Linked DNA regions of Mus musculus. The main gene of each other region encodes a partner of the protein of the gene in region 2 in a complex. Links are inferred from orthologs where the notes say so. Each region holds a gene or a part of one and is shown on either strand. Other genes may lie near its edges. The genes, in order: Taf4, Kat2a, Tada2b, Sgf29, Mbip, Tada3 and Tada1.

Region 1 (3,001 bases), on a different chromosome or scaffold from region 2:
TGGGTATCCTTGAATGGTGTGCTGACAGAAAGAGAAGCCTTAGCACAGACAGACACATATCCAGGAGTTCAGAAGGAAGACAGAGAGGGTGCTGTTCTGTATGCCCACGGCCACCAAAGAAAGCCTGGAAGTCAACCCTTACTGCCTGGACCTCAGGCCTCTGGCCATCCTGCCAAGACATCTGTCCACAGTTTGTGTCCTTGATCTCTACAGCTGTTGATGAGGACATCAGGGATGGCAATGAGGGGGAGTCTTCAGGTAAGCCTACCTACCACCTGCAGCCCAAGCTTACAGGGGTATCTGTCTATCATACACCTCTATGCCTGCCCTCAGACAGTCTACAGGATAAGGCCTGGAATGGGAAAAGCACAGCTCTGGTGTCCTCTGGGTGAACAGAACAGAAGACTGGCCCCAACTCCAGCCCAGAAGGGGGCCTGTGCTTGGTTAACTCCTAGATTCATAAGGACCAGAGAGAGACTCAGGAATGGAAAAGCAGGCGTGACAAATACAGATAAATTTGTTTTTAATAAAGGAGTTAATTTTCTTTCAATCCTATATAAAACAATAGCAATTAAAAACTTCATTTCTGAAAGTAAAATATTTACATATTAACAAGTAACTGTGCAAAATTTACATGAAAAAATGGAAAGACAGGGATTTCCTAAAAGATAAAATGAAAGGTGTAACAGTTCTTGGGTGTCGTAAAAAATACTGATCAGCGTTCAGTTCACACGTGCGAATTGAAGTCTAACATGAGAATCCACACGGAGAAAGCCAAGTATTTACAGTCATAAAAGTACTATCAATAGACAATTTAATACAATAACCTCTGAAAATATAAAGAACCAATTAGTATATTTGTAATAAAAAAATAGGTACAAAGAAGGGGCTTTGCTCTGGACGCCTGTAAGGTTGGCCACAGCTTGCATACAGTCTCTTAGCAAAATAATTATAGTTTACATAGCCATTTTATGTTATGTGCCAAAAATTATGTACAATTACTGACAAAATACACCAACCATTTCCAACACTTGATCCACACTGAGAAACAGTCTGTTGTTGATTCTTCTCAACTCTGATTTTATTTCATCTAAGTCTTCACTCTGAGCTAAAAACACAGTGCAAGTAAAATATATTTACGCTGAAAAGGTTCTCACTTCCTAGGCTCTCACTTCCTTCCACTTCACAGCTTCCAAACTGCAGCAAATCAATTGTGTTTGTACAGGTGCTGCCCCCGGCCTGCACCCCGGCCTCTACTGCAGACCGGGACCCTGCTTGGAGCTTGTGTTCCTGGGGAGCTTCGTGTAGACGGGAGGGAAGGGACAGGACAGGGCAGGGGCGAGGTGATAAATAGTCTAAAAAGTCAGCTTGCTTCGCCAACTGACTGCTACAACAGAAAGGAAGAGATGAGGTCATCGGCTGTAGACATACACCTAGCGGGAGTCAGGGTGAGCTGAACCAAAACGCACACAGGATGAGCAACTGCTAATTATTTGCTAAGCGCTTCCATCAGTCTTTAAATATGGCTTGTTTGGCAAGAAGGCCACTCAGCCGAGGATGAGCTCGGGTCAGCTGTCCTGTGAGAGCACCCACAGGCCTTTGTGTTCTCTCTGCTGCAGACACGGTTTCTGCCGCACTGAAGAGCTGATTTATAAACAGGAGTATAAAACTGCTCCATTGTAAAGAGGTGGCTGTTTTTAAACAATATCCCATTTGCTTGTTACAAAAAGGCGTAATCTGCAAATATATAAAAACGTCCGCAAGCATCCCATCAGAAACGCCGGCTCATCCTGTTACTTAAGGAATGCTTTGTAGAGCAACAGTGAATGGCTTGTCTCACGCTCGTTTTCTAAACAAAATATGAGGTCCCTGAGGTTGACCCGCGTGATTCTTTGCCGTGTGAACTGTCTGGGGGTTCCCACGCCGGAGCCGCCTGGGACTGCTGCGCCCGGGCCTGAGCCCTGGTGGGGAGAAAGAAGAGGACATGTGCATTAGTGACCATAGAACAGTTAGGAGGGAGGAGGAGATTCAAGTATCCCAAAGACCCTGGTTTTGAGGAAACACCCTGCCAAGCTCCTTCCACAGTTCTACTACTTTAAGTCCCTATGCAGGGCAGAGGCCCCTACTCCCCACTCTGCAACAGGCTCAGGATGCCCACCACCTCCAATGTCCCCATAAGCTTGACCCTGAGTGGGAGAGAAGGTTCTGAACGCGCAGCCCCCACTTTCCATATCACACAACACAACACTACCCAAGAGGCTCAGGTGAGGGGATCAAAGACCACACTTGATGCCACACCTGGGACCGTGGCATCCCTCCTTGGCTGACAGAGGCACTAGGCCTGAACTCATGGGCAGGGCAGGCTGCTGGTCAGCTGGAGAGGCCGACTGCTCAGCGGTCAGGACGGTGATCCACGGCCAAGGGAAGGGGGCTCCCTGCTCCCCTGGCTGGGCCTTGCTGCAGACCCATTCCCTAGGTCACCACAGCTATCCAGCGAACTGAGCTCACTTCCTTCCTGCTCAGAAATAGGATGTACTAGGGCTGGCTTCTGGCCACTAAGCAGCTGATCTCCTCACTGCCTCCATCTGACCCCCGCTGGACTCAAACCACACGATCCCCATGGACAGCTCTCCTCTTCTCACAGTAGAGAACCAAGGTGTGTCCTGCTGGTTAAACTGTCCATTAGTATTCAAGTGTACAAACTGCAGTGATGTCCTGACTGTGCCTCCATAGTCGAAGCTTAGGAAACTGGAGTATCACCTTCTACTCATGAGGCACAGGGGCACAGGGGCCAGTAGATGGCAGTCATAGGAAGCTGGCAGGCAGGCCAGGTACAAGTGTGCCTACATGACCTGGCCAGTTTCTTCATGCATATGTCCAACTGAAGATAGGGTACTTTTCCTCAGATGCTGGGAGCCACCACTGTCCATCTGTGGCCCTGGTCTCCACCATCACCTTGGTAGCCATGTCCTTTTGGGTAGACAATCTCCTTGGATGTTAT
Region 2 (4,033 bases):
GCTCAGGATAGGACATAGCCAGGATAGAGACTGGAGACCCAATTTTGTCATGATGTGTGGCCAAGGAGAACGGGTCTGAGCGGATGCCATCCTATGCTGTGTGGCTAGGCAGGGCACCCACCCAGTCACCTGAATTGCCTTAGTCCCCTCTCTATCAGACTGGTCTAGAATGAGCCAATCTTGTCACCTCTTGTTCCCACATGCTTGTTCCCAGATTCAAATGGGAAGAAGATGTGGAACAACAGAGGCACAGAGATAGGTAATGGCTTCACTTCAAAAGTAAACTCTAAGCCAGGCGTGGTGGCGCATGCCTTTAATCCCAGCACTTGGGAGGCAGAGGCAGGCGGATTTCTGAGTTCAAGGCCAGCCTGGTCTACAAAGTGAGTTCCCGGACAGCCAAGGCTACACAGAGAAACCCTGTCTGGAAAAAACAAATAAACAAACAAAAAAAGTAAACTCTAGACTTCTCAGAGCACTGTGGTAGGAGGGGCTCTGGGGTGATATCCACACACCCAGAGGAAACTAATTAGTAACTATCTATCAGGGGGCTGAAAGAGGGTAGCGTTAGCTTGGGCCATGTACCTGCCATCCCCAGACTAGCACATACTAGCAAGTAGCTTCTGGGCCATGGGCAAATCTGCCAGGTAGACACCCAGATCCCAGAAGGCCCATGGAGGGAGAGGAGGGACCAATCCAGGAAGCCTTCCTGGAAAAAAGGGGACAACAGCAAGGACATGAATTTGGGGTAAAATCCCAGGAGGCCAGACTGAGCCTTACTTGGGGAAGTGAGTGAGGATGAGGGTCCTCTTCTCAGGCACCAGTTTGTCCTTTTCCACCCGAAATTTTTCCAGTAGCTGCCGGCGGGTGACAGTGAAAATGGACCGTAGAAGGCTTCGGCCAAACACGTGGGTGGTCTCGTAGCGGGGGAGGCTGTCGCAGCTCTGGGGCACGTGGCAGTAACAGAGCCATCTGGGGGAGGTGGAGCGGCAGGTGAGGGTGGAGACCGCCAGACTGGCTGTTCAAGCCTCCCCTGTAAGGCCCTGTCTGGGCTTACCTGGTATAATTGACTTTGTAGGTAGCGACATCCTCAGACTGGGACCGCTGCCGGAATTGAGCAGGGGTCTCCAGCTTCCAGTAGTTAAGGCAGAGCAGGAACATCTTTGAGAGCTCAAACATTGTCTGGCGCTCTCGGGGGGCCAGGTGGCTAAATTTGTACTGCACAAAGTTCAGTACACCCTGAGGAGTAAGGAGGGGACAAAATCAGGAGGAGGTGTGGACAGCCAACAGAGGCATGTCAAATAGGAGGGATTCTGTGAAGAGAACCTCTGACCCTTCCAACTTCCACACCCACTCTGAGGTCAGCAAACACCATGTCCCTTCCTTGAACCTCTCCCCTGTTCTCAGCTTGAGGAAATAAACCAGACTCTCCACCCTCTTAAGTCGCCTTTAATCTTGCTACATGCCCGCCCTACCTGTTCAATGTTAGGCTTCTCAAATGGGGGGCTGCCTAGAGACCCCTCCACCACTGGCCGTGTCATCTGCAGAATGCACTTCCGCAAGAGCTGTAAGGAAGAGGGATGGGCAGAAACAGGAGTAGCAGAGCTCAGAGAGCAGGATCCCCAACACACACCAAAGCTTCACCATCTTTACTCCATGAGAACTCACCTTGAAGAGGTAGAAATAGACTTGTTTGGTGTCTGTGTCCTCTTCCTTGTGAACAGACATGAACAGATTTTCTACATCTACTACCATTCCCAAGAGCCGGTTAATCTCGTCCTCTGACACATTCTCCAGGTGGGACACATGGTCCGCTGCAAGATGGTTACATTAGGGCTGGGAAGAACAGAAGAGCTCCACGGGGCTTGATTCCTGTACCTCCTCTAACTAGCCAGTGACACACCCTTGATTCTCCAATTCTTGACAGACAGGGAGACCCAGTGTTCTCAGTTCTCCCATCAGCCCTTGGTAGCTACCTGCTACCAAGGCAGATCTCCTTTTTTCCTTCCATGGGACATTCACATTTATTCCCTACCCAATATTTCCTTAGAAGGTCTCCAAGAAGCTCTGTGGTACTTATGTCACCCTGTTCAAACAGGACCTGGCTCCTGCCCTCCGCCCCAGCTCCAAAGGTGGTGCCTGCCTTACCCAAAGGGTGCTCACAGCTACGGCACAACTCGCTCAGGTTGGCAGCTGGCTGCTGGAGGTCCATGCGGGGTGCGGTGGGGGGCTTGGGGTTTTTCCAGCCATTACACTTGCAGGTTTCATTGGCCTGGAGGGGGAAGGTTCAGTTCCCTGATGCTGTCTGCATCCCAAGCGCAAGAGCGGCTCTATGGCTAGAGCTTCGCCCCCCATTCCTACCCCAGACCTTGGATGCCCCAAGCCCCGCCCCTTTTGCTCTAGGCCCCGCCCCCACCTTGCAAGCTGAGAAGACCCCTAGTTTCTCAAGCTTCTTGGCACGCGGCAGACCCCGGACTTGCGCCTTCCTCTGGCTAGCGCGCTGCTGCTGGCTCAGGCCAGGTCGAGCCGGATCCCCCCCACTTCCTACCCCGGCGCCCCCACTCCCTGTGCTCCCAGCTGGGGCTGCAGCTGGGGCAGGGGCTGGTGCCGGAGTCGGAGCCGGAGTGGAGGCTGAAGCCGGACTGGGCGCAGGAGTCGAAGTTGGGGCAGGGGCTGGGGAGTGAAGGGGCCGGGGCTGCGCTGCCGGGACCGGGTTTGGGGCCTGGGAAGGTTCCGCCATGGCCTCCCCCGCAGCGGAGCGGCGCCGCGCTCCCAGCCCTAGGGCCGCATGGGCAACCGGCGCACAGTGCGCAGGCGTCACGGCCCCGGCGCACGATGGGAGTCGTAGTCTTCCTTTGCCGCTTCCCATCCTTTGGCCTTCCATACTTTTTTTTTTCTTGGTTCCAGACAACCAAATGTCGCTTGGTTGAGCATCCTAGATTTGACCATTACTTCATTCTAATCTTTTTTAAGCCATCCGAGATAGTGACAATTACTATCCTCTTGGGAACAAGAGGCACCCCAGAACACTGGCCGTCTGGAGGATTTGTGGATGCTGCCCTTTTAAAGTCCATAGGTGGAAGAACAGGCCTGGGCCTGAGGTTGGCTCCCACATTGCAAAAGCCTGCCCTATTGTGGCTGCCGGCTAAGGCTTGCAGCTACAATAGAGATAAAATGTAACATTAATTCTACTATTTGTACTGTGGTGTTCACACTTATGAATTAACTTTGACAATCAGTTTTTGGGTTTTGTTTTGTTTTGTTTTATTTTGTTTTTTGAGACAGGGTTTCTCTGTGAAGCCCTGGCTGTCCTGGAACTCATTCTGTAGACCAGGCTGACCTCGAACTCAGAAATCCGCCTGGCTCTGCTTCCCAAGTGCTGGGATTAAAGGCATGCGCCATCACTGCCCAGTGACAATCAGCTTTTTCTATACTTGGGTTGCTGTTAAACAGAAACGGTTTTATTTTCAAAAGAACAAAGAGACATAGTTGTGGGCCATGCTGCTGTTGAATGTGTGTGTTCATGCACGGGCATTCGTGTGTGTGTGTGTGTGTGTGTGTTGGGAGTGGGCAGGAAAGGGGGGGGGGAGTGTGTTTGTGTGTGCTGAGAACTAAAGAACCAGAGAGACCAACACTGAAGATGCGGAGGGTAGGGGGTGGTCCCCTCTTCTGGCTCGCCTAGGCAGCTTTGAAGATGGAGAGGATTCCTGACCTCATACCCTTCCATCCTACCTCCATCTTTTTCCCTGCCCACTCCTTAATGGGGGGGTGGGGGTGGAGGAAAGCCAGAGAAATAGACAGTTTCTTCCCATTGTAGAGGTAGACTGTGAAAGGTCAGGGATAGTTCTTCCTGGAAGATCAGAAAGGCCCCCTCTTTTGGCTCAGTCCAGAGAACAATTTTCCTTGCCCCAGGCCCGATTCTTAAAAGGGCAGGGTAGGGCAGGGCCGGCAGGGCAGGGCAGGGCAGAGCAAGCCAGACCTTTTCAACCCCGTTGCTCAATCCCATCAGCTCCCAGGATGGAGCTGTAACCCCGCA
Region 3 (3,500 bases), on a different chromosome or scaffold from region 2:
ATTGCTGGTTCTGGAACTTGTGTTGAGAATAGCAACCGGGAAATGAGTGTGCATTTTGAGCAATTACTTTCTGAAGTGGCTTTAGTGGTTGACTTTAAGGAAGAGGCCTCTTGGCAAAAGGAAAAGATTGAGGGAGCCATTCAGTTTCCTTTCTTGCAGAAGTGGAGAAGGCTTTCAGCATTGGCAGCCCTGCAGTTAGCTTCTGTATGCCCGCCATCTCCAGCCACCTAAGAGAGGAACAAGCTACGCTCTAGAACCTAAGGCTGGAACAAAGCTAAGGAGTCCTGGCCTTTTGTCCTAGGATGCACAGAGAAACAGTCCCTTTTGTAGTCATTCTGCATGGACTTGCTTTGCCCTCTGGGCAAGTTGGCAAGTCTGCTTTTTAGTCTGAGTGAGAAGTATGTGTCTGACACCATATTGTCTTAAATGTTCTTCAGGATTTGCAGTGGGTAAAATGTCCAATAGCACATGTCTGCTTTTTCTTTAAGAAGTCAAAGAACAAAGAATGACTTTTAGCCAGCTGTCACCAGCTCCCATATAGCCTTGCACAAGTCTGTAGCTCTGGATCTTTCCGCTCAGGTACATCTATGTAGGTTCCTTTGTTGGGATACATACCTGAACATCTTTCAGGGGATAACTGGTGTGTGTGTGTGTGTGTGTGTGTGTGTGTGTGTGTGTGTGTGTGAGAGAGAGAGAGAGAAAGAGAGAGAGAGAGAGAGAGAGAGATAACAGCATTGATAGGAAGTAGCCCAAATAAAGCTTTGTGAGATGGTGGGATGAACTTGAGTGAAGTGGCTTGATGGTCTGGCTTTTGTCATTATAGGAAGACATGGCTGCACATGTTGGTGCTTCACGGACTCCCCAGGAAGTGATGGAGCACTACGTTAGCATGTATATCCATGGGAACTTGGGCAAAGCCTGCATCCCTGACACCATCCCCAACCGGGTGACAGATCACACCTGCCCCAGTGGAGGCCCTCTCTCGCCTAGCCTTACCACACCTTTACCCCCATTGGACATCTCTGTGGCTGAGCAGCAGCAGCTGGGCTACATGCCACTGCGAGATGATTATGAGATAGAGTATGACCAGGATGCCGAGACGCTCATCAGTGGGCTGTCTGTGAACTATGACGATGATGATGTGGAGATAGAGCTCAAGCGTGCCCATGTAGACATGTATGTGCGGAAGCTGAAGGAGAGGCAGCGCCGGAAGAACATTGCCAGAGACTATAACCTGGTGCCAGCCTTCCTGGGCAAGGACAAGAAGGAGAAGGAGAAGACATTGAAGAGAAAGATCACCAAGGAGGAGAAAGAGCTGCGGCTCAAACTACGGCCACTCTACCAGTTCATGTCCTGCAAAGAATTTGATGATTTATTTGAAAATATGCACAAAGAAAAGATGCTTCGCGCCAAGATTCGAGAGCTGCAGCGCTACCGGCGCAATGGCATTACAAAGATGGAGGAGTCGGCCGAATATGAGGCCGCCAGACACAAACGGGAGAGGAGGAAGGAGAACAAAAACCTGGCCAGCTCCAAAAGGGGGAAGGAGGATGGCAAAGACAGCGAGTTTGCAGCCATTGAGAACCTTCCTGGGTTTGAGCTGCTGTCAGATAGGGAGAAGGTTCTCTGTAGTTCATTGAACTTGAGTCCTGCACGCTATGTGACTGTGAAGACTATTATAATTAAAGATCACCTCCAGAAGCGGCAAGGGATCCCCTCTAAAAGCCGCCTTCCCAGTTATCTGGACAAGGTCCTAAAGAAAAGGATTTTAAATTTCCTCACAGAAAGTGGGTGGATATCCAGGGATGCTTCCTGAGGCCAGATGATGCTAAAGCAGCTTGTGAGCCAAATGATCTGGGGTCTCCCCCAACATTGTTGCTCTTTTAAACAAATTGAATTCTTTTTTCAAGGCTTAAATTTTTTTTTTTCATGACCTTCTGGAAGAAGCAATAGTAGCAATCTTAAATTTGACTCATAGGGGAGATAAGCGTGTGTCTTTTTAACTTAGTCCTAAGGTAATCCATTCAGAAGACAGCTTGCCTTTGTGTTCCTATGAAGACTGTCCCCAACCTTGGACGTGTCCCCTTTATTTCATGAGCCTTTCCCCGTTTGGGTTAAGAAGCTGTTATGCTGTGGGAGCCAGGAGCCGTGTGTTCCTGCCATCAGCTTTTCTCTGGTGACACAAGCTTTACTCAGGAGGGCTGTTGTTGGCACCCCTTTGCTGAGCCCACTGCTGCCCCCCCTCCCCAGCTGACACCCCAAGCACAGCCCCGGCACACCGCACTTTACCGGGAGGCAGGCTGTGCACAGAACCCTCTGCTGTGGAGGCCAGAGACCACCACCAGGCCCGCTCCCCACTGAGCCACTTAAGATGAGCCCCTCATTTGCACACAGTGACCACATGAGCTTCCACTTACCTAACAACAGCCATTTCAGGCCCTCAATAGTGCTTGCTTCATCTTAGCCTGGCCCAGCCTGGGCTGCCTGGACAGGCTCTCCTGGCACATTCCTGTACCCTTTAAATGGGAAAGCAGTTAACGGAAGGGCCACAGGGTCAGATGAGGGCTGCCTTTCGCTGCTGTGAACACTTACAGTACACCTGACTTGGAAGACCCTTTTGAGTTCAAGGCAGAGTGTGCAATGTTGAAATGGAGCAGTAGGTGCTGAGGACTTCCACTACCATTGTAGATCCCCTTTCACTAAATATAAGACATGCTAGCTAGCCTGGCTCAGTGAGCTGATTAGCGTATGGCAGGGGGCCTAGGAAGTACAGAGCATCCTGCCTGTGCCTTGGAGCCTGTGCACTGCTTTTGTATGTGATCTTGCAACAAACTCAGAAATGGCTCCTTCCCAGCCCTACTGAAAAGCTTGTTTCTGGGGCCTCCTTCACGGATTCATATGGTACCTTCCTTCTAAACTTGAGGAAGGCATTTGTCTTCCGGCTGCTCAGGGCTCTCACGCCCAGACCCTGCTTTAGAGTCCTGGAGTGACCACAGCCCCTGCCCCCTGTCCCTGAGAGGTACAAGAGCCTGTTTACCTCATAGAGTGTTTGGGCTCGGAAGTAAAAGTGAAGTTATTTTGAAGAAAACAACTCATTTCCAAGGACGACATGACGACGTGCCTTTTCATTTTACATCCTCTGTCCCCTAGGGTAAGTTTTTCAGCATTAAATAAAACATTTCAAATATACTGTAAATGGCTTTAGTTGTAAAGTGCATTGTGGGCCAGCAGGCCCAGATTTCTCTTGACACCAGAAGATGCTGAGCAATGGTGTCAAAGGACCAGCTCCACACTGCCCCCTGCAGTTGAATAGTGGACAGTAGCTGGTGTGACTGAACAGCAATGGGGTGGTTGGTACTCAATGCCTAGGTGAGCCAGTGGTTCTCAAAGTAGGGTTCCCCAGGCACTGTCAGAAATACAGTCATACCCCAGGTTAAATCTCGAAGCAGAGATTTGGGGGCTTCATTAACAGGGACTAGCAGGGTGTTTTTCAAACCATC
Region 4 (3,486 bases), on a different chromosome or scaffold from region 2:
GTCTCTCTTTCTCTCTCTCTCCAGGTACCATTGGGGACTGGAAAAATACCTTCACTGTAGCCCAGAGTGAGCACTTTGATGCCCACTATGCCAAGATAATGACAGGTTGTGACTTCACGTTCCGCTGTCAAATATGAGTGGATATGGCTATACTGGGAACCAAGGCAAGCTGACACAGCCCATCATGATCTCAAGAGAAAAATGTGATGTGTTCAATTTATTTGTTGTATGCCTAAAGGAAATCTGAGCTAAGAGAATAGGACTGGGGATGTAGCTGAGGCAGAGGGTCTTATCAACATGTCAGGAAAGCCATCAGTCCTAACACTGAAAAAGAACCTAAAGTACAAACATGCAAAAATAGTAAGATAAACTGTATTTTACCTGAACAAATAAATGCCACTGGGAGCTGACTGGACCTTCTCCCTCTTGCGACCATCAATCCCACGTGCCTGATGGAGGATGGCAAGAGGGTCTGACGTAGTGAGGCCCAGGAGACATGGTGAGAGGGAAGAGTATTTATTTGATCATAGGAACTCCTTTGTAGCCTTCTCCCATGAGGTTGGCAGTGGCAGATTCAAGCCTACCAGCCCGATTCACTTTTTCTTGGGCTCCTTACAAGCCACCACGTACCTCTGGGCCACATTGAGGGGAGGGGAGTAGCCATCTGCATAAGAGGTGTCTTCAAACAGGACTGAGTAGTCATCCTGAGGCTGAGAATACACACAGGAAGGGTCAAGGGGCTTCTAGACCAGGGCAGCCTCTCCTTGCCCTGAGCCCTAGCCGTGTCTCCCCACCTCTCCAGCTTTCCTCTCTACTCTGGAGTCAAAGGGTCTGGTACTACCAGGGAAGCCTATGTGCAGGAGATAAAGGACAACGAGAAGACGGCAGCATCCTAAAGAATGAAGATGACTACCCCTCAAGGGCCTGATATCATCAAAGACCTTCCATGGTGGCTCCTTACCCTCTGTGGTGGGGTGTGGATCAGGGCACGGTAGAAGCAGGTGGTCTGGGGATATAGGGCCAGCACCAGCTGCTCCTTCTGGAACAAGGCCTCAGGGTCTGTCTCAGGGTTAGCTTTCCACTGGGGCAGTGGGATGATGCGCCGACGGCTCAGGGTGTGTCTCCTGGGGGAACAATATAGACCGTGACCAGGGACGCTTCTCTCAGAAACTTGGTGACTCCCCTGCTCCCCACCTGGACACTCACTCTTTGCCTTCTTCATCAATGTCGTCTACCTCATACCTGTGGGCAAACAGAAGGGAAACAGTGCTGGAACAGAAGGCACAGTTTATATCTGGGAGTGGGGTGTGAGATGGGATGGAAAGGGGCTGAAGAAGCTTGAGGGAGCCCCGCCCAGCACCCTCTGGTGTGGTATGAATGCAGTCAGGCACACACTCACTTGTTGGTAGCATGGCTGTAACTGACTACTTCAGCTAGGATCCACTGTTCATCCCCTTCCACAGCCTTCACCCTAGCAGCCACCTTGTCTCCAGGTTTGGCCACATAGTCCCCTGAGGCTGGAATGGCTCCACAGAGGGGTGGGGGCCTGTAGAGAAAGCCTGTTAGTCTGGCCCCCCAACACCATCCCTCTCTGGCTAGTTCCTGCCCTCACTTGTCACCAGGTTTCCCGATCCAGAGGGGCAGGGTCATGGCGGACTGCTGCAGCAGTGTCATCAGCACCCCTCTGCGCATGGTCTTCCGTGGGGGCTCTGAGTCATTGTAGAGACCTGCGATCTTGGCCGCTGTGGGAAGCAAGTGTACCCCTGAGGTCCTGTGCACGGTACCTGACCCAGTCACACCCAGCAACTGCTCTGAGCTGGAGCACTTTGTACCAGGACTCCCCCAAACTCATCCACATCCCTTCTTAACAGATCTAAGGCTGAGTCTAAGGAACTGACTGACAGGTCTAACTACCAAATGGGTGAGATGTCAGGAAAGTGGGCACCTTCATGGAGAGGAACTAAAACAGTGCACAGCGGGCCTTCCAGGATGCAGGTTACATTCTGTCCCCTGACTGAGGTGCTGGGCCAATGACAATTCCTGAAATGTATACCCATCTTTATCTCCTTTCTACCAGTGCATGTAATTTTAGCAAAAGCTGCACAGATTATCTAGTGTGGATCCTAGGTCTCCTCACATTCAGCTCATCACCCTCTTCAACTGAAAACAAACAAAAATTGCTACCACGGTCACAGTAAGGGTAAAGAGTTGCCTCTGTGGTAAGGCGGAGGTCATGAAGCCAAGGCAACAGAACCTGAGGAAACCTGGAAGGCTGGGGGCTAAGCAAGTTTCCAATGTGTAGCTGGCCTGGGAATATAGAGGGTGACAGACTGTCACCAAAGCATACCATAGAGAACAGTACAGGAAGGAAAGAGATGAGCAGCTCTGGCCAAGTGACTAAGGGCAGTAGGAGGGGTGGGTAGAGAACTAGGCAAACTCTCTGCCTCTGAGTCTGTGCCAGACAGCTCTGTGGGGTGACCCTATCGATTTAGGTCCTATGTTCCCCCTGCTAGGAGCCGTGACTATTGTCCCCTGAGCCCCCACCTTGCCTGGTAAAGAAATGCCCTGTGTTTTCTCCCACTCACCAATCCGCCTCTCTTCCAACAGAGACTTGATCTCAGCTATCTTATCCAGCGCTTTGCGGAGGATGCTAGGCAGGGAAGGGAGAAAAGAATGCTGGGTGAGAGAGGCACTCAGCACAGGCGTCGTGGCAGTGTGGCCTCCTCAGACCAAGTCTATGATGAAAGCTTCAAATCCTGTGGGTGTGCTGGATGACACCTAATCTCAACACTCAGGAGTTTACAGCAATTATGTTGTGAATGTGATGCTATTTTAGCTGCAATGAGTTCCAGGTTTGCCTGGGCTAGAGTGAGACCTTGCGTCCAACACAAAAGGAGAGACTACAGAGATGGCGCAATGAGTTAAGTACCTGTTGTGCAAGCCTGAGGATCTGAGTTAGATTCCCAACACCTATGTGAAAGCCAGACATCAGGGTGTGTTCCTGTAATTCCAGCATTGAGTTACCATAGAGACAATCAGATCCTTGAAGCCCATTAGCCGAACAGCCTAGCCAAATCAATGAGTCCCACATTCAATTAGAAACCCTGTCTCAAAAACTAAGGTGGATAATAATCAAGGAAGATACCCAATGCTGGCCTCTGGTCTCTACATGCACACTCATCTCACATGCCTGGGAACCTACAAAAATACATGTACACACCACATAAACATATATATACCACACATACAAAATATTAATAAAAAGAAAAAACATACAGACCCTAAAGAGAAGGTCTGTATGTGTTACAATTCTGTGACAGCAGCCCCACAGGATTATAATATAGGCAAACAAATTTTACTGCTCATGACACCCCTGACAGCAATTGAGGTTTGGTCTTTTACTGTGTATTGTAATGCTAAGTGCTGCCCCCATGTAGACCTAAGTGAGCTATGTGATTCAAATTATTTCTGATTGGTGAATAAAGA
Region 5 (4,223 bases), on a different chromosome or scaffold from region 2:
AGAACACTACCAAGAATATAAAATTAATATCAAAATCAGTCAAAACTTTAGAGGGAGAAGCTTCCACCTGTACATTTGACTGAGTATAAGGGAATCACTATAAACTTTGCTAGACACAATTCAAGTGGAAACAAGTCAATTGTACTTATTTTGCAATAATAATTTATTAAAAATTATGTCATATTTTCTACAAAGTAAAGATGCATGTTTCATGAGCTCAAATACAAATTTAAAGAGCTGTAAGAATAAAAAACCAAGACATGTGCTGATGGATTACTTTCATATTCAATAATAAATGCAGTTATCTTAGTAATCTTATCGTCAAATCTTAACTTAGTGTAAGTTTACCTATGTCAGTATAGCCTATGTAAAATTTCATATTTCTTTATGTTTGCCAAATGTGGACTTAGATGCCCCTGGTCTTAGGCAGTAGGTTTCTGTATCCACTATTTATACAGTAGAGTGCTTAACATAGGAACCTGAGATCTCTTTGGTTCCATGGACAATTCATGTCTTGTTTTTTTATTTTTACAGTTCATTATTCTTGCCACAGTCAACTATAGAGCTCTTGGCAGATTTATGTTTGGGGAATAAGCAGGCAAACCTTAAACCAAAGCAAAGCATCACCCTTTCTAGAGAAAATAATTATAGGAAAGAAATCTTAATATTTGGATCATATTCTCATGTCAGTATGGAAGCTTTCAAAGGCAACTGGAGACACTTGATCTTTTATGGAAACCAAACAGTAAGGTGACAAATTAACTTAAAAATGGCCCCCAAATAATCCAATTATTCATTCAGCAAATTCCCCAGTAACATATGGATTCTATGAATTTTTATCCCATAATCCTTGGGACAGTAATCAGGCGTTCAAATTTTTCTATTAACACACTATTAACACTGACTACTCAGTCATGTATGTTCAGTAGAAACACATTAGTTGCATTTGAAGGAAAAATGCTTTTTAACAATTCAGTTTTACACTTTCTATCGAAAAGCGCTAATAATTCAATGATATTTAAGGTGAACTTAGACATATTACAATTTACATCTTAAAAGTCCCTTTAATTTGTTGCGAAAGGACACATTCCGCAGGGGCAACTTTATAAGTGTGGATGGCTTTCATCCTTAATCACGCATCTCAAAATACATATTACTAAAATAGCATTTAATTAATTTTTTAAAAAATCTTATATTTGACACTTGTTAAAGGACCCTTTACTGTTACAAAAACTTCATTTTCTCTACACATTTTTGGCAAGTGGCATAAGTTAAGTTTAATCATTTTTCCATTTGAACCTTTGAGATAAATTTATATAATTAAAAAACTCAGTATGCAAAATTTAGATATTTTATAATTCAAATAATTTATCAATGTAAATTATTTTGCAATTTCTAAGCATAATATTTGAGAAGATTTTTCTCATCTTGACATTAGAAATATAAATGAATAAATCTTTAAGTTCCAAATCCACGCCAAAAAGTTCTCTAACTTTTAAACTATTTAAAGATCTGAGATGTTACTACTGAAATATTAATAAGGAAAGTGCTTAAGACTTTGTAAGAATTTTTTTCCTAATTGCTTATCAAGCAACTGAGTTTAATTTTTTTTAACTTTTCGAAGTCCAGTAACACCAAACAGAATGTACAACTCAAGTAGTTTGCCAGTCAGAATAAACTTACTAAGGTTTTCCAACTAAGGATTTTAAAAATAATCCTCACAAATCAGGTAAATGTCCTATTCTCACTGGTGGTACCACTGCCCTTGACATAAATGTGTGCTGTGTCCATTTCAAGCACTATAACCAGTCCCCAAACAAATTAGGAAACATGTTTGACACAAAACTCTTCTAAAAGCAGGCAAACATACTTTTGTTCCTTATTTAAACATTGCCTCATTTACATCACGACTATCTAGTAAAGTGTAACCTAGTTTTTAAAATCCAGGTTTACTGTGACATTTTCTGTAAAGAGCAATTAGCTAAGCTACACGACAGTCGTAATGTAGTTAGAAGTGGCCACACATAACTCATCCAACAATTCACACTAAAATTTAGGTATACTACAAATGAAATTGTGGAAATCCTTATATATCCCTCCCCGTTTAAAAGAGTAAGAGATGCAATAAATGGCAAGAGAAACAAAAAACAGAAAAACAAACAAATAAACAAAAAACCCCAGAGTAAATCACCCCCCAAGGAGTGGGGATGGCGCTAGGAAAAGTTTCAGGCCATATTAACCAGTGAGTTTCTGCGATAAATACACTGGAGGCAAAAGGACCGTGATCGCCAGGAACCTCCTTCACCCTCATCACCTTTTAGGCATCTTTTGGGCAAGCTTTCGTCGCCAGGACCCCAGTTTTCTCCAGACCTTGGCCATCAAGCGTGCCGCTGGCATCTCCCGGTCCCAGGAGCTGGGCCCAGGGTCTTCCGGGTGTCACAGCCCGGCCACGGCACACCAGCGGCACACACCGTGCCAGCGGGGCTCCGCGACCCCCGCCTCCGAGAGAACTAAGGGGACAAGGACCGGGATGCTCTCCCTCCCCACCCACCCCTTCCCCGCCGCACCCCCACTTACCTGTCTTGTCAGGGTGTGCAAGGAGCGAAAGACTTCGCAGAGGACCTCGCGGGTGAGGAGGGGGCTGGAGCATTGCTCCAGGCTCCTCTCGCTGCCGCTTGAGGAACTAAGCTCCGCAGCAGCAGCCATGACACCTTCAAAGCAGCCCCCCAACCACCGCGAACAGCGCTCACCCCACCCCTCCCTCGCGGACTTCGTCGCACTGAGATGACGTAAAACTAGAGCGTCTCACTTAGAGCTTGAGGATAGGCCCCACCCTCTGTGTGTGACAGACACACAGGAAGACCAATCAAGAGCAAGGATAGCTGTGCTCCGAGGGAACTTGTGTATGTGAAGCTGGACCTTCTGTCTGGTGGTGTTTTCTGTGGTCCACCTTGGTTTAGAAACCTACTTGGCTCTTAGATGCTCCCTGTGAATGTTGGCAGAGCCTTACTCTTAAGTGTTAGAATTTGAGTCCCGCTATTAAAATTTAAAATGTTAACAGTCGAGTTGTCTTGGAAAAAGATTGCGGGTTAGTGATGGAGCAGTGCTTTACAATTTTCTAATTACTAGAAACTTGACCCAGGATGATCGTTACTGGATAGAACATTTTCATCTCTATAAGACTGTTTGATATGAGGAATTTAAAAAGAACACAAGGGCTACATTATGCTTCTTTTTCCTACCATAGAACGACATTGATGACTACACCTGCAAAATAGTTTATGTCAAAGTTCTGACATGCAACGGGTTCTCAGTGCAATCACTGGACACTTGACCTTAAAATTGTTTCAATATAAATCCAATAGAAATATAAACCAGCCGGGCAGTGGTGGCGCACGCCTTTAATCCTAGCACTTGGGAGGCAGAGGCAGGCGGATTTCGAGGCCAGCCTTGTCTACAGAGTGAGTTCCAGGACAGCCAGGGCTACACAGAGAAACCCTGCCTCAAAACAAAACAACAAGAAAGAAAAGGAAGAAAGAAAGAAAGAAAGAAAGAAAGAAAGAAAGAAAGAAAGAAAGAAAGAAAGAAAGAAGGAAAGAAAGAAAGAAAAGACCAATTTATTCCATGTAACCACACTCTTTAAAATTAGGATATAAAACTAAATCGACTCTTGTTGGGTATTATTAGATAGCTTTATTTTAGCGAAAAAAGTTATAATTTTATAATGTAGAGTTCTATTAATTTTTTTTTCCTTTGAGACAGGGTTTCTCTGTATAACCCTGGCTGTCCTGGAACTCACTCTGTAGACCAAGCTGGCCTCAAACTCAGAAATCTGCCTGCCTCTGCCTCCCGGATGCTGGGATTAAAGGCATGCTCCACCATGCCTGGCTCTATTAAATTTTTAAAACAAGCTTAAAAGATAAAGGACAAAAGAATTAAAACTCTGGCGGCAGTGGCTCAGGCCTTTAATCCCAAAGCACTAGGGAGGTAGAGGCAGGTAAATCCCTTATGAGGCCAGCCTGGTCTACAAAGTGAGTTCCAGGACAGCAAGGGCTACACAAAGAAACCAAAGCTCGAAAAGCAAGCAGGCAAGCAAGCAAGCAAACAAACGATTTAAAACTCTTCTTCATGATAGTTGAGTGCATTTAACATACAGGAAGTGGAAGTATGAAGTTAATGGGTAGTCTATCCTTAGAGAGCAGACTGAATAAAGGAAGAAATAA
Region 6 (3,500 bases), on a different chromosome or scaffold from region 2:
GGGAGATATCCCAACACTGTGCCTTCCCCGCAGCAGCTGAGCTACACTACATTTCCCAGGCACCCCTGCAGTCAGAGGCACTTGTGGGACAGATTCTCCAAGGAGAGTGATGTCCACAGGGAAGAGTCACAGTCACATCCAGAAGGCTTCCTTCCCATACTCCTTACTCAGCTTCTGCGGGCCTGGCGCAGTCACAATACCCAGAGTGACCTTGGTCAGGATGAAAAGCCACATAAGACGGAGTCTCTGCGGGGCTAAGCCAGACTTCCCCTGGCCTCAGTCTACCCCAGGCTGTTCTCTGAGAGAAGAACTATCATAGTGTTAGAGACGAAAGAGGAAACCGAGGCTAGAGGATGTAAATGGTGTTTCTAAGCTCAGGCCTGGGCATTAAGGTGGAAACCCCAAGCGAGGCTTGAATCCGACCTTCACTTATTAGCTGTGGTCTTAAGAAAAAGTTAACTTTTCTGAACCTCAAGTTCCTCACAAGCACAGGCGTCCAGTCAGAGGAGGCATGGAATCAATCCCCTTACCCACTGCTCAGCAAAGGTGTCTGTGGAAGCCTTGTGTGGAGACTTACATCTGCTATTCCCGGCACAGGGGCATTGAGGCACGAGGACTAAAAGTTCTAGTCCATAGTGTGACTCTATCTCAAAAAGCAAAATAACAATAAAGTGCCAGCACACGAGCGCTCGTGTGTGTGTGTGTGTGTGTGTGTGTGTGTGTGTGTGTGTGTGTGTGTATGTGTGTGTGTGTGTGTGTGTATGCACGTGTGCGCATGCTCGCTCGAGCCTGTGTGTAAATGTTTTTTTGTTTTCTGAGACAGTCACATGTAACCAGATTGAACTTGAGCTAAGAGCCTCTGTCTCCCAAGTGCCACTGGGGTTACAAGCAGATGCCACCATGCCTAGCTTGTGGTTCCCAGTCAGATGGCCTGCTCACCTCCACTAGGGCCTGCAGCAGGCGCTGTGTCAGGGCTCCAAAGGGACACCCGTCTTCTGGCTGTTCATGCTGGGCCTCAGACTTCTTCAGCAGGGCATCCACATCTGGACAGGGAGAACAACAGCTGGAGGCCTGAAGCTCCGGGGCCTCAGATCCAGGCCTGGGCTGTGAGGAGGCTGAGGCTTACCTTTTGTGTCCAGTTCTGTCAGTGGTCCTATGAGGCCTTTCTTCTTGTCAGCCACAGCTGCTGCCCGAGCGCCGTCCTTCTGCTCCTCCAGCAGATCCTCCTGGGCCCAGCGCTGGGAGTAGTGTTTCCCTAGGGGGGGAATCTGCAGCAAAGAGCTCACTCAGCTCTGAGAGGTAAACACTGCCCATCTGAGACTGGAATGTGAGAGGATCTCCTGGCATGGGACTCGGTCAGGAAGCATCCGTTTATTCTTTCTTTCCTCACGGATTTGTTGCCCAAGGCCAAGGCTGGTGCCACGAAAGGCCAACAAGATCCAATCTCTCCACTCACACTCCAGTAAGGGAAACACGTATAGAAAGACTCAACACAGCTAGGCGTGGCGTACACACCTAGCCTATGATCATTCTGGAGGCTGACATAGGCTGATCAGGAGTCTGAGCCTGGGCTGAGACCCTATCTTTTCTCAAATAAACAAACAAACAAACAAGAACCAAAAATCAAAATACACCTAGAAGCTGATATGCATTAGCAAGATATAAAATAGAAGCCAGGCAGGATAGCACACCTTTAGTCCCAGTACTCGGGAGGCAGACAAACCAACCAACCAAAAACCCACAACCACCACTACCGACAACAAAAAGATACAAGGTATAAAATACTGTGTCTGTGGATCCTCTTGGTCAGCGGTAATTCCTCTAAAGAGAACTTGGGCCCAAAGCAGGGATAAGAAGAAATTATTTTCTTGTGTTCTTTAAACTTACTGCTGTCAGAATGGACTGCTTTTTCTCCACTTCTTTTATATAGGACAAGCTGACTCTGTGAGATTATAGGTGGTAGCAGTACTTTTGGTCAGGACTGAATCTGGGGCCTTGTCCATGCTAAGAAGTTGCTCTACCACTGAGCAATATGACTAACTACATCTCTGGTTGCAGATAAATGATTTTCAAATTCAGGTTAGTGCATTTAAAGCAGCCCGGGGACCATGAAAGCACCAAGTGAGACCATGTCCTTTGCTCTCCTTGGAGAAAGGACCTCAAACTTGTAAACCCATGCTGGCCTCAAACTTGCCTCAGCCTCCCGAGTGCAATGGGGGTGAGGCACTGGGCCCAGCTGCCCCTTTCTGCTGGAGAGTCTGCAGAGGCATCTTTGGGGCCTTGAGGAGTGAGGGAGTCTGCCAGGCTGAGAAGAGCTTGTGTGTAGACCCTGGTGTGAGGCCAGGGGGAGGGAACATGTCTGGTGTAGCTGATAAATGCAGCAGGAAAGAAAGATGTGGCCAAGGACAACTGGAGAGAACTGGGGTGTCACCCAGCACTGAAACACTTGGACTCCATCCTGTGGCAAACAGAAGTCAGGGGAGCCCTAGAAGTAGATCTGTGTCATACGTGCACCTGCGATGGCAGGTGTCCTGTGGTGGAGTCCCCGCCTCACAAGTTTGTCTACTTTCTTTTATGGAGCATATTTTATTTTTAAGATCAATAAAGCTAACTTGCTGGGGACAGATCTCCGCCAGTAGAGAGCTTGCTGGGAATGCAGAGAGCCCTGGCTTCTGTACCAGGACTGCATCAACTGGGCATGGTCATTACCTACCTGTAATCCCAGCACTAGGGAGTCAGAAGAAAAAGATCTTAAGTTCAGGGTAATTTGTTAGCTAACAAAGTTCAAGGCTAGCCTGGGATAAATGAAATCTAGTCTCAAAAACCAAAACCAAAACAAACAAACCAACAAAAACCAAAAAACAACAACAAACAAAATCCCCCAAAACCAAAAAAACCAACTTTTAACCCAGGTATGTTTGTGGTCCCAGACACCTGGGGGGGACCTGAAGGGCTGAGAGAGGACAATGGTTGAGTCCAGGGGTTCAAGGTCAGCCTGGGTACCATAGCAAATTCCAGTGTCTTAGAAAAGAAAACCAGAATTTAACTTTTTTTTTTTTTTCTCGAGACAGGGTTTCTCTGTGTAGCCCTGGCTGTCCTGGAACTCACTCTGTAGACCAGGCTGGCCTTGAACTCAAGAAATTTGCCTGCCTCTGCCTCCTGAGTGCTGGGATTAAAGGCGTGCGCCACCACGCCCAGCGGAACTTAACTTTTATAGTTAAAGAAAGTAAGTATCGCCCAAGTGTAAAAGCAAGGAGAGTGTTCAGAGGCTCTTTGGAGAAAGGCTAGAGGACAGAGAAAGCTGAGCCTCACTGTCTGCAGGGGTCATGGAGCAGGCAGGAGGCTGGGAAGAAAGTAGGTGATGGATGCAGGCTTTGCTGCCTAGGACCCTCAGGCGCCTTTGAGCCCTGTCGTACTGACTGTGCGGCTCAGGTTTCTACCTTATAATGTTCAGCTTCATCTTCTGGGGGCTTCAGGAGCTCCTCTAGTGTCCGTACCTC
Region 7 (3,997 bases), on a different chromosome or scaffold from region 2:
CACGAGGTGACTCCTAAGCTAGTCTGTCTAGTCAGCAGCAAAGGAGGGGACAGATACTTCAGACTCTTGCAGAGGTCCCAGGAGAGCCTCAGAAGAAACCCACCCGTCCAGCATACTGGCCTAGGATTTACAACCCCCAGAGCTGTGAAAAGAGTAACTTCTGTGGTTTAAGCAACTCGCCTGTGGTGCCTAGCAAATGAACACACCAAAGAGGCAGAGGAGCAACAAGAAACATCCTTTCTCCCTAAAGGAGGACTCAGGGCAGACTTGGTGCAGACACACCTGTGCCTTTCCTTCTCTTGGCCGCCTTCTTAAAAGAACATGGCGGACTTACTCCTAAGCGTGAACGTTTTATGAGGAGGAGAGTGGTGACTAACACCTATTCCTGTGCCACGCTTCCGTTCAGATGAGCTCAAATCGGCAGAAATGCTGCCTTTCTAATCACTCGCCAGAAAGGAAGTATTCCTGGATATGAGTAACTGAAAGCCTGTGGTTTTAACATCTGGACCGCTGGACATATGGTAAACAATTCACACCATGCACTCTGTATACCCTTGTTTTACCTACCTCCCAGGATCCCATTTAAATGGTCATGATGAACAACGAAAAGCAAACTGCTTAAGAGGAAATGGCCAGAGACAAGCAAGCTTAACCAAGATGGCAGGTTTTAAAAATGAAGACCGGAAACAGAAATGCATTACAATCCCATCATTAACTGTGTCCCTGACACAAAGACTTGTGAATTTCACATGACAGATACATAAAATTTGGAATCAGCACCCATATTTGTGCAACATCACAGTCAGCTCTGGCCATTACAAATGGATCAAAGACTGCAAAGGTTTCTGTCATGCCTGAGTTTGCTAAGTGAGTCTGGAAGGAAGGCACAGTTACTCTGGCCAGAGTTAGAGTCATGGCCTTCACAAGTCATAGCCTGCAGATTTAGCTCCGTGTGAAACCATTCACTTCCAAAACCCTGTGAGCGTGGAAAAAGAGACAAGTCTCCCAATAGGCTTTTTAACCGTAAGCCTCACCAAACAGTATTATAAAAGTACACAACCATTCTAACGAAGCCAAAGGCTGCCATTTTTACCTATTTAAATTTAATTTAATTTCCTCCTTGCATCTCAGGTGGTCCTTCACCCATGGCGCTTGGTGTGACAGTCTTGAGGCAGGACTATCAAACTGAAAACATCACAAACGTAAAAAACGCAAAAGAGTCCCTCACCCCACTCAGCTTGCAGCCTCTTACCAGCTAACATCGAAAATTCCAACACAACTAACAATCTCTGTCTAAGGCCTCCCTCCTTCTCGCTTCCAGGCTGTAAAACCGCAGTTGTCTGGTCATCTGGACAGAGAAACCCCTTGTGCAACTTTAATGTCGCCTGGTTTTACTCTACCAGACTTTATAAGCTTGTCCACCTCATCAGCAAAAAGAGAAAAAAGAAAAAGAAACTTGTACAAAATTCTTGGGTGTAACAAGACAGCTGCCAAAACGCACAACTTGTGACTCTCCATTGAGAAGTCCACATCTGGGTATGTCTTATTTCCCTGGGCATCTCTTTTTAATTCCGGTGCTTAAAAATCTACAAATAATAATACTTATTATTTATTTATTTATTTATTTATTTAAAGCCTTTTAAAGAGGGGTTCCGACGAGGAGCTTGCACCTAAGCTTTTCTGACGGCCTTTCTATTAACACCACCTCTGCTTCACGGGCTGCTCTTGTCAATCATTTCAACTTCAGTGCCAGGAAATACGGGTTTGCCAGAATTGAAGTTCCCCCAAAAGATCGAGGCTCCTCCTCCGGCTGCCGCAGGCTACTGCTTATAGAGCTGTCACTCTGCCCCAGTCCCTGCTGACAGCCCGGCGGTGTGGGGAACGGGAGGACTTTCCAAGTAACCCCTGAAAAGCATCACACGGCGGGAACCAGAAGCCTCAGTCCCATCCTTGGGCAGTGACTTTGGGGGAATAAGTAATCTCTGTCTCTCGAGTACGAACTGTGCCGATCTCAGGTCTGAGGATTGGCTGGCCCGTGTGGAACACTGGGAAAGGCGTCCTACGGCCGGCTAGGCAGCCGCCCCCTTGGATGCTGTGGTTGTAAGGTGGGTGACCGACCGACTTCACTTGGGGTCTCTGTGCCTTCCGAACCCGCTTTCACAGCTCTTCTAGCTGGCCCCTGAGCAACGCGGGCCTCCGCCTCCGGGAAGCCCTCCGGGCCCCCCCACCCCGCCCCGGCGCGCCCCCCGCTCTACCGACTCCGGGGCGCCTAGGGCGCTGCTCCCGCCCCCACGCGGGTATCACCGGTGTCGGGACGCCCAGGAGAAAGTCCTCCAGCGCCTCGAGTCCCGGCGGAGCCCGCACGGGAGCCGTGGCGGCCGCGAGACGCCTACGGCCTCCGGGAGGTGAAGAGAGTCCAGGGACTACGGCAGCCCCGAGCTTGGGGCACACCCACGGACAGGCCCGGAGGCTGGTCCCCGCGGCTCTTACTGTTTCACGTTGTCCCCCAGCGCCTCGCTCAAGTTCTTCTTGGCTGCCTCCAGCTCGCTCACAAAGGTCGCCATTGCAGCGCGCGTCTTTCAGCCCGACCGTAGACCGCGCGGCCCACGGCCACCAGCAACCGAAAGATCAACGCGGCGGAAGGCCTGCGCGCCGGACGCTGGAGGCTCGACTCGACTCGATTCCACTCGGCTCGGCTCGGCTCGGTTCGGCTCGGCTCGGCTCGGTTCGGCTCGGCTCGGCTCGGCTCGGCTCCGCTCGGCTCGGCTCGGCTCCGCTCGGCTCGGCTCGGCTCGGCTCTGCTCGGCGGCCCCGCCCCCATCCGCTAGGGAGACGTTGCGTGGGTTTGGTTCTTGGCCCCGCCGTCTCGCAGTTGGGAAAGCACCCAGCCAAACTCCCTTCGCCAACTCCCGCCTCTTGGCTCACGTGACCCGCTTCCCCTGGTGGGCGCGTGCCCAACCTACGCCCGCCTGCCCGCCCGCGGCGGCCCCCGGGGCGCGAACTTGACCGCCCCGCCCGCCCTCCGGCCAGGCCCCGCCCTGACTGCAGGTCAGCTCTTCCCAGAAGGAAGAGCTCAGGTCCCCGAGTGCATGCAATATCTAATTTATCCTCTTGTCCTCATTTTTTTGCCAAGTGCTCACCACCTATTGTGACATTTAGTTGGTCGATCTCGTTTTCTGCCTCCTGCAACTAAAACGAGAGCTGCCTGAAGGCAGGATTTATGTTACTCAAGTTCTGAACATTCACTATTGACAGATCAAATAAAAATAATTCCCAAGCAGGACTACCAAAGGTCCTAGGGGAGGTAACAGGAGGAGTCTCAGCAGCTAGTTAGCCTGACCCACAGAGGAAAAGACGCAAAGAACCTCGTTTCAAGTCAAGGTCAAGTGGAAGGACCCACAAGCTAGCTTGTCCTCTCTCAAATTCCAAATTCACACTCGAATATGCACATATATACTACACTAGGAAGCCATAGCTGTGTTCAGCTTAAAACTTTTTAAAGCCTACTTTTAAAGTCTCTCTCTCTCTCTCTCTCTCTCTCTCTCTCTCTCTCTCTCTCTCTCTCTCTCTCGTTTTGACAGAGTGGCCTCTTAACTCACATAGATCCAACTGCCTCTAGTGCTGGCTGGGACTAAAGGCATGGGTCACCATGCCCAGCTTGTTTGTTCTTGAAATAGGGTCTCTCTTTGTAGCCCTGGCTATCTGACACCAGGCTATTATTTTGCCTTAATGTTCATGTTTGTTTGTTTGTTTTTTGAGACAGGGTTTCTCTGTATAGCCCTGGCTGTCCTGGAACTCACTTTGTAGAACAGGCTGGCCTTGAACTCAGAAATCCACCTGTCTCTGCCTCCCAAGTGCTGGGATTAAAGGCATGTGCCACCACTGCCCGGCTAATGTTCATACTTTTAATGACAGCATAATTTTTTAAAGATTTTGTTTTTAGGTAGATGTCGTTGTGAGTGAATTTACAGGTGGTTGTGAGCAGCGGGCCCTGTTA

The links.
Region 1: Kat2a (region 2) and Taf4 share a complex: the UniProt entries of both Homo sapiens proteins name them as parts of the TFTC-HAT complex. The link is inferred for Mus musculus from reciprocal best matches to the Homo sapiens genes KAT2A and TAF4.
Region 3: Kat2a (region 2) and Tada2b share a complex: the UniProt entries of both Homo sapiens proteins name them as parts of the TFTC-HAT complex. The link is inferred for Mus musculus from reciprocal best matches to the Homo sapiens genes KAT2A and TADA2B.
Region 4: Kat2a (region 2) and Sgf29 share a complex: the UniProt entries of both Homo sapiens proteins name them as parts of the ADA2A-containing complex. The link is inferred for Mus musculus from reciprocal best matches to the Homo sapiens genes KAT2A and SGF29.
Region 5: Kat2a (region 2) and Mbip share a complex: the UniProt entries of both Homo sapiens proteins name them as parts of the ADA2A-containing complex. The link is inferred for Mus musculus from reciprocal best matches to the Homo sapiens genes KAT2A and MBIP.
Region 6: Kat2a (region 2) and Tada3 share a complex: the UniProt entries of both Homo sapiens proteins name them as parts of the STAGA transcription coactivator-HAT complex. The link is inferred for Mus musculus from reciprocal best matches to the Homo sapiens genes KAT2A and TADA3.
Region 7: Kat2a (region 2) and Tada1 share a complex: the UniProt entries of both Homo sapiens proteins name them as parts of the STAGA transcription coactivator-HAT complex. The link is inferred for Mus musculus from reciprocal best matches to the Homo sapiens genes KAT2A and TADA1.

The regions. Positions count from the first base shown.
Region 1 is NC_000068.7:179,911,646-179,914,646, forward strand, and holds the end of Taf4 (transcription initiation factor TFIID subunit 4), read right to left. Parts: intron 1,962-3,001; coding exon 1,794-1,961; 3' UTR 501-1,793; downstream 1-500. UniProt on the Homo sapiens protein: The TFIID basal transcription factor complex plays a major role in the initiation of RNA polymerase II (Pol II)-dependent transcription.
Region 2 is NC_000077.6:100,709,668-100,713,700, forward strand, and holds the start of Kat2a (histone acetyltransferase KAT2A), read right to left. Parts: upstream 2,801-4,033; 5' UTR 2,738-2,800; coding exon 2,414-2,737; intron 2,270-2,413; coding exon 2,146-2,269; intron 1,812-2,145; coding exon 1,666-1,811; intron 1,563-1,665; coding exon 1,473-1,562; intron 1,237-1,472; coding exon 1,055-1,236; intron 970-1,054; coding exon 778-969; exon of another isoform or gene 583-777; intron 1-582. UniProt on the Homo sapiens protein: Protein lysine acyltransferase that can act as a acetyltransferase, glutaryltransferase, succinyltransferase or malonyltransferase, depending on the context.
Region 3 is NC_000071.6:36,474,286-36,477,785, reverse strand, and holds part of Tada2b (transcriptional adapter 2-beta), read left to right. Parts: intron 1-823; coding exon 824-1,816; 3' UTR 1,817-3,500. UniProt on the Homo sapiens protein: Coactivates PAX5-dependent transcription together with either SMARCA4 or GCN5L2.
Region 4 is NC_000073.6:126,669,794-126,673,279, reverse strand, and holds the end of Sgf29 (SAGA-associated factor 29), read right to left. Parts: intron 2,651-3,486; coding exon 2,586-2,650; intron 1,743-2,585; coding exon 1,613-1,742; intron 1,547-1,612; coding exon 1,400-1,546; intron 1,243-1,399; coding exon 1,207-1,242; intron 1,125-1,206; coding exon 962-1,124; intron 711-961; coding exon 594-710; 3' UTR 501-593; downstream 1-500. Other genes in the region: Sult1a1 (sulfotransferase 1A1), read left to right, coding at 25-137. UniProt on the Homo sapiens protein: Chromatin reader component of some histone acetyltransferase (HAT) SAGA-type complexes like the TFTC-HAT, ATAC or STAGA complexes.
Region 5 is NC_000078.6:56,343,095-56,347,317, forward strand, and holds the start of Mbip (MAP3K12-binding inhibitory protein 1), read right to left. Parts: upstream 2,801-4,223; 5' UTR 2,707-2,800; coding exon 2,578-2,706; intron 1-2,577. UniProt on the Homo sapiens protein: Inhibits the MAP3K12 activity to induce the activation of the JNK/SAPK pathway. Component of the ATAC complex, a complex with histone acetyltransferase activity on histones H3 and H4.
Region 6 is NC_000072.6:113,371,339-113,374,838, forward strand, and holds part of Tada3 (transcriptional adapter 3), read right to left. Parts: coding exon 3,441-3,500; intron 1,269-3,440; coding exon 1,127-1,268; intron 1,044-1,126; coding exon 940-1,043; intron 1-939. UniProt on the Homo sapiens protein: Functions as a component of the PCAF complex. The PCAF complex is capable of efficiently acetylating histones in a nucleosomal context. The PCAF complex could be considered as the human version of the yeast SAGA complex.
Region 7 is NC_000067.6:166,377,970-166,381,966, reverse strand, and holds the start of Tada1 (transcriptional adapter 1), read right to left. Parts: upstream 2,801-3,997; 5' UTR 2,565-2,800; coding exon 2,491-2,564; intron 1-2,490. UniProt on the Homo sapiens protein: Probably involved in transcriptional regulation.